Xenopus tropicalis: one gene and its partner. The protein of the gene in region 1 interacts with the protein of each later gene in a pairwise test. Links are inferred from orthologs where the notes say so. Each region holds a gene or a part of one and is shown on either strand. Other genes may lie near its edges.

The links.
Region 2: the proteins of numbl (region 1) and spsb3 interact in binary tests that used the Homo sapiens proteins (3 or more experiments, as listed by UniProt). The two-hybrid records come from large-scale screens. The link is inferred for Xenopus tropicalis from reciprocal best matches to the Homo sapiens genes NUMBL and SPSB3.

What each region holds. Positions count from the first base shown.
Region 1 is NC_030684.2:78,385,724-78,390,126, reverse strand, and holds the start of numbl (numb-like protein), read left to right. Parts: upstream 1-1,361; 5' UTR 1,362-1,777; intron 1,778-4,403. UniProt on the Homo sapiens protein: Plays a role in the process of neurogenesis. Required throughout embryonic neurogenesis to maintain neural progenitor cells, also called radial glial cells (RGCs), by allowing their daughter cells to choose progenitor over neuronal cell fate.
Region 2 is NC_030685.2:21,435,211-21,439,458, forward strand, and holds the start of spsb3 (SPRY domain-containing SOCS box protein 3), read left to right. Parts: upstream 1-1,309; 5' UTR 1,310-1,332; coding exon 1,333-1,461; intron 1,462-2,233; coding exon 2,234-2,408; intron 2,409-2,498; coding exon 2,499-2,686; intron 2,687-3,355; coding exon 3,356-3,458; intron 3,459-4,048; coding exon 4,049-4,174; intron 4,175-4,248.

The DNA of each region.
Region 1 (4,403 bases):
ATAATAGTGGTCTGGTCAACCTAGTGCCCAAATTAGTCCTCTTTGTTAACAACAAACACTGCACGCTGCTTTTTATGTCATACCTGTTTGGTGATCGATTTTATTAACCCTCCAACAGCAGGTCATTTTTTTTGCCTATAAACACATATCATTTTCAGTTTCAATTACAACATTTACAAATAACTATTAAAATAACTGAAAATGATCAGTAAGTTATTTTAGAAAGATACTTAGAATTGCACTCTAATTTGTTTCTTTGTCTGCAGTTCCCCTCTAATCCAAGTTTCAGTAAACCGTCTCCACCAACACCACTATAGAAAGGAGTAATGTTATTTAGCATCTTCATTAACCTGGTTCTTGCCAAGAAAACCTCTTTTATAATGGTTCCCTATTTGTCCTGCTCATCATTTCCAGTTATTTACTCCTTCTCACTTTCCAAAGACATCAAAGAATTCCTTGGAACTACAAGTACTACCTTTAATGTTTTGTACCTGTAAGACTGCTGGGTATTGCAGTCCTCTGTGCCAATAACTAGTTTACAGAGGCCCTAGTTAATGCTTCAGCAGAAAGAAAGAGAATCTCCAGCCAATAGCTTGCGTTCTGCCATCAGAGCCAGGGACAGGTAAAGGGACCAGCCAGGAGAGGAGAGAGGTGCTGGGAGTTTTAGGGGCTGCCAGTTTGTGTGCCTGCATGTTCTGTGACCAGTGATGTGGAAACATCTAGCAATTTAGGCGCTCCTCAGTCCATAAAAGCCACACAAAGTCTCTGTCCCTTTTCCTTTTAGAGCACACTTCAGTGAGCTGGCAGGAAAATGAAAGGCTACAGAACTTCACTTAAAGTTGTCCATTAACTGGCAAAACACGGGTTAAAAGCAACTCAGAATTCATAAGGAACCCTGCGTCTCCTTTTACTGTAGATTTCTCCTGATCAGGATGGCTCATAGGCTGCATCCCAGGATCACACTGGCTGCTGGGATCCTGCACACACTCCCTCCAGGGAACAGTAGGAGGCAACTCCCAGCAGGCTGAACACTGCAATGTTTCCCCTTGCAGATTAATAGCAGTTTCTCTGGCAGGTCACAGAATAAGCTGGAACACAAACTGGCAGCCCCTGAGTCTCCCAGCACACCTCTCCTCTCCTGGCTGGTTCCTCTTCCTGTCTCTGGCTCTGCTAGCTGGACTCAGACTGTCCCTCTGATGATTGGCTGGAGAGTCCCTTTCTTCCAGCAGAGTGAAACAGTAACTAGTTCCTCTGTAAACTGTAATGGATGGCACAGAGGACTACAGTACCCAGCAGTCTTACAGGTACTAAGCATTAAGGGTGCTACACTTAGATTAACTGAATTTCCTGTCCCTGTAATGGAACTATATTTAGGGACGAAAACATTAAATCAGAACAATTTGTAACAGAAGGAAAGAATTTTGGAGCTGAGCAAGCGGGTGAGGAACAGGAGAATAGGAGGGGTTAGAAGAAAGGAATTTGCATTTCATAAGAGCTTTGACCAATGAAATTGTACTGGGCGTGGTTATGGTGATTGGAGCTTTTGCAGGGAGCATGCGTCCATGAGCGGGTAACAAAGCAGATTGCCAGTCACATTATTTGCTGGTAGCCAGATCAGGGCACATCTGCTGGAAAGCTTTGAAGCTGGATTGTACTATCTGAGAGCTGAGATCGTTGCAGGCTCTGAGTGACACGCACAATCGCTGGGTTTGCACATACAAAATCGTGGAATTTAAGATCAGATTGAGCTGTGTGAGCCCCTCTTCTGCTGAGAGCCGTAAGTACATGCATTTCCCTGGAAAGGTTCGGCATCCTGTGCTTGGCAGGCTGGGCCAATAGATTGAATGAATTGGGGTGGCATTTCATGTCGATTTTGAGGAAGGAGAATGGATGGGTGGTTGTGGGCAGTGGCTGCAACACAACCGGGGTCCTGGCATCTCACCAGCTGACTGTACTGTCCCACGGGGTCCAACACTGGGTGCCAGGAGATTCCCAGCTGTGCGCTCTGAGACGCATCCCTTTGCTAATCACAGTGCCGGGCATTTCAGTTAATGCTGAACCTGCGATCTTCCTTCCAGCTCCTAGCATGGTATCAGGGGATGCTGGGGGCTGTAGTTTCAAAGGTTGGATGGTCAGGACATTAACCCTTTGCTAGACAGAGACCAGCGCTTCTCTCTCTATGCAGAATTCAGAGAAGCTTCTAAAGTGTCTGGTTCTGGGATTTTATGCCGTTTGCTTGAGCCACGGAATCAATACTTTTCCTTTATGTCTTAGCTGGGCCTATGTACATGCTGACTAACAGCTCTCTCTGCTAAATTCATCTATTGCTGCTGTGTGGCTTTAAACTATCTCACCCATGCAGATACCATCCTAATATGTATGTGTACACCCACACAAATTCCATTCACAGTATACCTCTGCCAGTGTACACACCCACATAGATGTGCCACATTGTGCAAACCCATGTGGATATCTCCTCCATGTACATTTCCATGATTCAACGTCAAAGTGAACTTCACCAATACCTATGACATCTAGTTTGTACCCCTATACTCCACCCATTATATGCACCCACATGGATTTTATCCGAATATGCATCTTCCAGCAAACATACCCACAAACATACCTTTTAATATATACATCTGAAAATGTACTCACCAAAACAATCTCAATTATATACACACATATAAAGTTCACTGAATGCACAGCACTTGATTTTTAAAATGACAGTTTTATTGCAGAGTCATCTCTTAACTAAAATAATTCATACAGGCAACGTTAATTCAGCCCTTCCTCAAGCCAATATATATATATATATTAGTTTTTCCCACATATGCATTTTACTTTATACTCATACACAGATATCATCCATAGATTCTCACAAATGTACATGTACACTTCACAGATTTACTCTACATGTGGATTTCCTAATGCACACATGCAATCTGCATATCCATCTGTCTGTAACCAACCAGCCAAATTACTTTCACATATACATCCCCTAATTAAAACACCTGTAAGATTTCATTTGGTGTCATGCACTGTACATATTCAGGTGAATCTGATTCAAATATACACCTAGTGCAAACAGCTCACAATTAACTTTTTTTTAGCATTAGGATGTACCATATAATATAGGTATATATACAGCCAGATTTCTTTGCATACTCATCCCCAGTGTACATTAATTTTGTGTACATACACAGCTACTTCACTTTTCAAACACGCATGCAAAGTGTGCACTACCAGACTCTCTGCTTCCACCTGGTCTGTTTATATACACAGCTGGGTTACTTGCACATATATGTGTAAGAAAGTTTATATTGATATTTGTAACACCATGTCACTACATTAAATAGATGATTATCTAATTGTTACACTCAAAGAAATGCAGTGATATGTTATGATTGCTTTCTTATATTATGCCTTCAAGGGTAGGTCTGGCAAGTTTTGGCTTAGCTGGCAAGGAAAATTAATTGGCCCTTAAGCCAGTGGCACTAGCCCAGACCATGGCCAACCCATTAAGGATCATTTTTCAAACCCATACAGTATAATAGTTTTGCGACTCAAACATTAATGTTTCAGCAAATGTCTCCCTTTTTCAGCCTTCACTTTTGTGTCTCCTAGTATATACACATAAATGCATTTTAACTGCACATATACATCTCCCAGTTACACACCCAAGCAAACATGAAAATTTAAAGGCCCACATGAAGCCTAACCCTTGGATACGTTTCCAATTGTACACTGGCAGACTTCCTGTAGTGTGTACTAAGTAAAGGAAATGCTTGCTCCTCCCCTGAATTGTATATGAGCTTGGCTTTTAACAATCTGTTTTCTTGGATACTCTCTAAGACAATGCTAATTTAGCAGTTTAAATTACAGTGTTAGATGCACCCAGAGGACAAAAGTTTACCCCATATGTAATGACTGGTGCAATGTTTGCCCAGGTGCAGTAACCAATATCAACTAATATACCTTAACTGTGCCCATATACATAACTGTTATTGTGCCCACTCACTTCAACTAAACTTTACTCAAATACATACCACACCTAGATTTTTCCTTAGATACCATACAGTGTGCGCACTTACCCAGTATTTGGCCATCTAAATAGCTCACAGCATGCCCTCTTATCCAGACTTTACCCATCTGAATACCTCACAATGTGACTGTTCACCCAGGGATTACATTTACAGCATTCCCTCACACCAAAATGTTACCGTTATGAAAAAAAAGTGTCCTGTTACCCATAGACATATCTCATAGTTTACCTAATCACACAACCAAACAATCAAACACCTAAGCACCCAGATGTTTACTTCATACACCTTTACCAAGGCATCTTTATTGCTCTCTAATGCATCAATATTCTAGTGCAATACTTCAGGAATAGTTTACTC
Region 2 (4,248 bases), on another chromosome or scaffold:
CAGCCTGGCAGGGCAGGGGGGGGATTGGGCAGGTACCACAGACAGACCAGCCTGGCTGGGCAGGGGGGGGGGGATTGGGCAGGTACCACAGACAGACCAGCCTGGCTGGGCAGGGGGGGGGGTCGGGCAGGTACCACTGACAGACCAGCCTGGCAGGGCAGGGGGGGGGGTTGGGCAGGTACCACAGACAGACCAGCCTGGCAGGGCAGGGGGGGGGATTGGGCAAGTACCACAGACAGACCAGCCTGGCAAGGCAGGGGGGGGGGGATTGGGCAGGTACCACAGACAGAGGCCTGCCTGGCAGGGAGGGGGGGATTGGGCAGGACCCACAGACAGAGGCCAGCCTGGCAGGGAGGGGGGGGGGGATTGGGCAGGTACCACAGACAGACCAGCCTGGCAGGCAGGGAGGGAGGGGGGGGATTGGGTAGGTACAACAGACAGAGGCCAGCTTGGCAGGGCAGGGGGGGGGAAGGATTGGGCAAGTACCACAGACAGACCAGCCTGGCAGGGCAGGGGGGAGGGATTGGGCAGGTACCACAGACAGAGGCCAGCCTGGCAGGGAGGGGGGGATTGGGCAGGTACCACAGACAGAGGCCAGCCTGGCAGGGAGGGGGGGTTGGGCAGGTACCACAGACAGAGGCCAGCCTGACAGGGCAGGGGGGAAGGGATTGGGCAGGTACCACAAAGGCCAGCCTGGCAGGGAGGGGGGAAGGGATTGGGCAGGTACCACAAAGGCCAGCCTGGCAGGGAGGGGGGGGGGGTTGGGCAGGTACCACAGACAGACCAGCCTGACAGGGCAGGGGGGAGGGATTGGGCAGGTACCACAGACAGAGGCCAGCCTGGCAGGGAGGGGGGGATTGGGCAGGTACCACAGACAGAGGCCAGCCTGGCAGGGAGGGGGGGTTGGGCAGGTACCACAGACAGAGGCCAGCCTGACAGGGCAGGGGGGAAGGGATTGGGCAGGTACCACAAAGGCCAGCCTGGCAGGGAGGGGGGGGGGATTGGGCAGGTACCACAGACAGAGGCCAGCCTGATTGTGACTGATGGCCAAATACAGATTTGCAGATATAATAAACTCACTCACAAAACCCTCATTTATTTCTGTTGGAATTGGCCAGAAACTCACAGGTCAGGCCACTGACACTAAATGAATGAGGGGTGATTCTTTGTGTTCTGTCACCCACCTGCCCACCAGGTACTGTAAGTTGCTTGGACAACAAAATGACTTGAATTCCCCCCCTCCTATGTGCCTTTGCTTTATTGAGAAATATATTGGTTTTCTCTGATCCCAAGGCTTTGTGTTCCCTGCAGGTGCTCCCCAGATAACACAGGATGGCACGTCGTCCACGTAACAGCCGTGCCTGGCGTTTCGTTCTTAGTGGTGTGCGCAGGGATCAGGATGCCCGCTCTCCAACCTTACCAGCAGAGGAGGAAGCATGGGGTTATGACTCTGATGGTCAGGTAAGTGCAAGGAATCTTGGAATTCAATAGATAGTGAATACTATGCCCCCGATGGTAAATTATAAGGATATTATAAGTCACCAAGGAGTTCCATAGTGAGAAAAAGGCACAGGCTGTTATGCAGGTTACATAAGGGCAAGTGTAAATTGCTGTTGGGCCCAACAAGGGAGAGTTACTAGGGGGCCATGGTACAGGTGTGGGATCTGTTATCCAGAAATTATCTGAATTACAGGAAGGCCATCTCCCATAGACTCCATTATAAACAAATAATACTAATTTTTACAAATATTTTTCTTTTTCTGTATAATAATAAAATAGTGCCTTGTACAAATAGATATAAGATATAATTAATCTTTATTGGTGGCAAAACAATCCTATTGAATTTATTTAATGTTAGACTTAAGTTCTGGAGATCAGAAGGGACAGAGAGACCCCTTATCTGGAATACCCCAGGTCCCAATCATTCTGGATAATGGGTCCCATAGCTGTATATGGTTTGACCCTTACCTTGTCGGCAACAAGAAAGCAGATCAGCCATGAGATTGGACTTTTATTGATACAAAAACCATTTGATACTATTCATCTTCCTGTCTGTTCCTTAAACCGCAGCCTGGTTGCTATGGAAAGTTGGACCTTAGCAACTAGATAGCAGAGTAAATTCCAAAATGCAGAACTGCCAAGCAATTAGTAAAATAATTGGAAAAGACTAAAATATAAAGCCTGCAACATGTTTTAGACTGATGATTGTAAAAGGCAAACTCTCTCTTTGCAGCACAGTAACAGTGACTCTGACACAGACCTGCTTCACTTGCCCCCCTCCATCCCTAGCGCTGTGCCTGTGACGGGAGAGTCGTACTGCGATTGCGACAGTCAGAATGATCCCTATTGCTCCAGCCTGCACACTTTCCATCAGATCAAGAGCTGCCAGTGTGGAGAGGAAGACAACTGTAAGAACAAAAGCAAACTGAAATCTCTTCTCCTATACATCCCCTTTGTACATCCCCTAGCCAACATCTCATTTCTTTCTTTACTTATAGACTTCGACTGGGTGTGGGATGATTGCAGTAAATCCACGGCGACCGTACTGAGTTGTGACAACCGGAAGGTCAGTTTCCACATGGAGTACAGCTGCGGCACCGCGGCCATACGCGGCAACAGAATGCTCACCGAAGGGCAGCACTTCTGGGAGATCAAGATGACATCCCCAGTCTATGGCACAGATATGGTATGTACCAAAAGGCTTTCCTCTTGCACAGAGTCAAGGTTATGTGATTGTGTTCCCAAACAACACTGGGTGCTTAGCATTGCCTTTACATGAAAAAGTACAAAGAAAAAAAATTAACCCATTTTGCATAAAAAACAAGGACAAGAACAACTTTAGCCATCTGTTTTACTGCAAGTAGTCTAACACCTATATGTAATAAAAGGCACTATGTTTGCCCAGTAGTAGTAACCTATATCAGCTAATAAGATGTTGGCTTCTAAACAGGTGCTATGGGTTACTGCTCCTGTGCAAACTTTTATTACATAACCCCTTAAGTTTTTTCCTGGTCCAGTGGTCTCAGTTGAAGAAAACCGTGGAAAAAAAATAGTGAAATAGACTTTCCTTTTCATTTAAAAGTATGAAAGTATCCATAAATATATAGTGCAAATACAACACACACACACGTTTTCTGCTTTGACAATCCTCCTAGGAAAACTATGTCATAATACTTAGCTTTCCTGTATGAGAAATCCATTCCCGTTTCAGCAAAATCAATCTGTACGGACCTGGCTTTGCGCATGGGGGCAGTATTATGCTGAAACAGAAAAGAGCCTTCCCCAAACTTTTGCCACAATGAAGGGAGCATGGAATTATCAAGAGTGTCATTGCTGTTGTGCTTTTTACTTTTAGATGGTTGGCATTGGGACTTCCGATGTGAACCTAGATAAATATCGTCACACGTTTTGCAGCCTTTTGGGCAAGGATGCAGAGAGCTGGGGACTCTCTTACACAGGTAAATTGTTGCAATAAAAAAAGGTACAATTTCTGCATAAGTTTGGAAATTTCAAATGTGCCTTTGTAGCAGGCCTCATTCACCAGTTAGATGCAAAAGGCACTGTTTCATTCTAAAGGTGGCCATACACAGTAGGATTCGCTCATTTGGCAAGGTCACCAAACAAGCAACTGTTCCCCCTAAACCAATGAGCTGATGCTGTGGCCCCGATCTGACTTAAAAATCAAACCTACTTGATCGATACCTGGCCAATTTTCAGCCAGATATTGGTCAGGTAGGGCCGTCGGGGGTCCCCATACAGGGGCAGATAAGCTGCCGACTCAGTGTAAAGGACGCGAATCAGCAGCTGAAATCTACCTGTGTATGGCCACCTTAAGTCACTAGAACTCTCACTAATGATCCAGTTGCACTTTTGTTAGTCTTCCAGATTGCAAACCCAGTACCCCTTTGTGTACAGTAGATCAAACTGCGCAGTACTTAGGGCCAGGATAAACTGGACATTAAGGGCCAATTAAGTCTGATTAGAATATCTTGAGATCTGTTACACTGCAACAATTCAATAAAAATCAATTAATTTTACTTTCTATTAGGCCTTCTCCAGCACAAGGGAGACAAAAGCAACTTCTCCTCACGCTTTGGCCAAGGCTCCATTATTGGAGTGCACCTGGACACATGGCATGGAGTGTTAACTTTCTATAAAAACAGGAAATGCATCGGTGAGAATCATCTGCTTTTTTTCCATCTGTTTGTGCCAGGCTCTAATTATTTTTAAAGTCGGATTATTTACTGG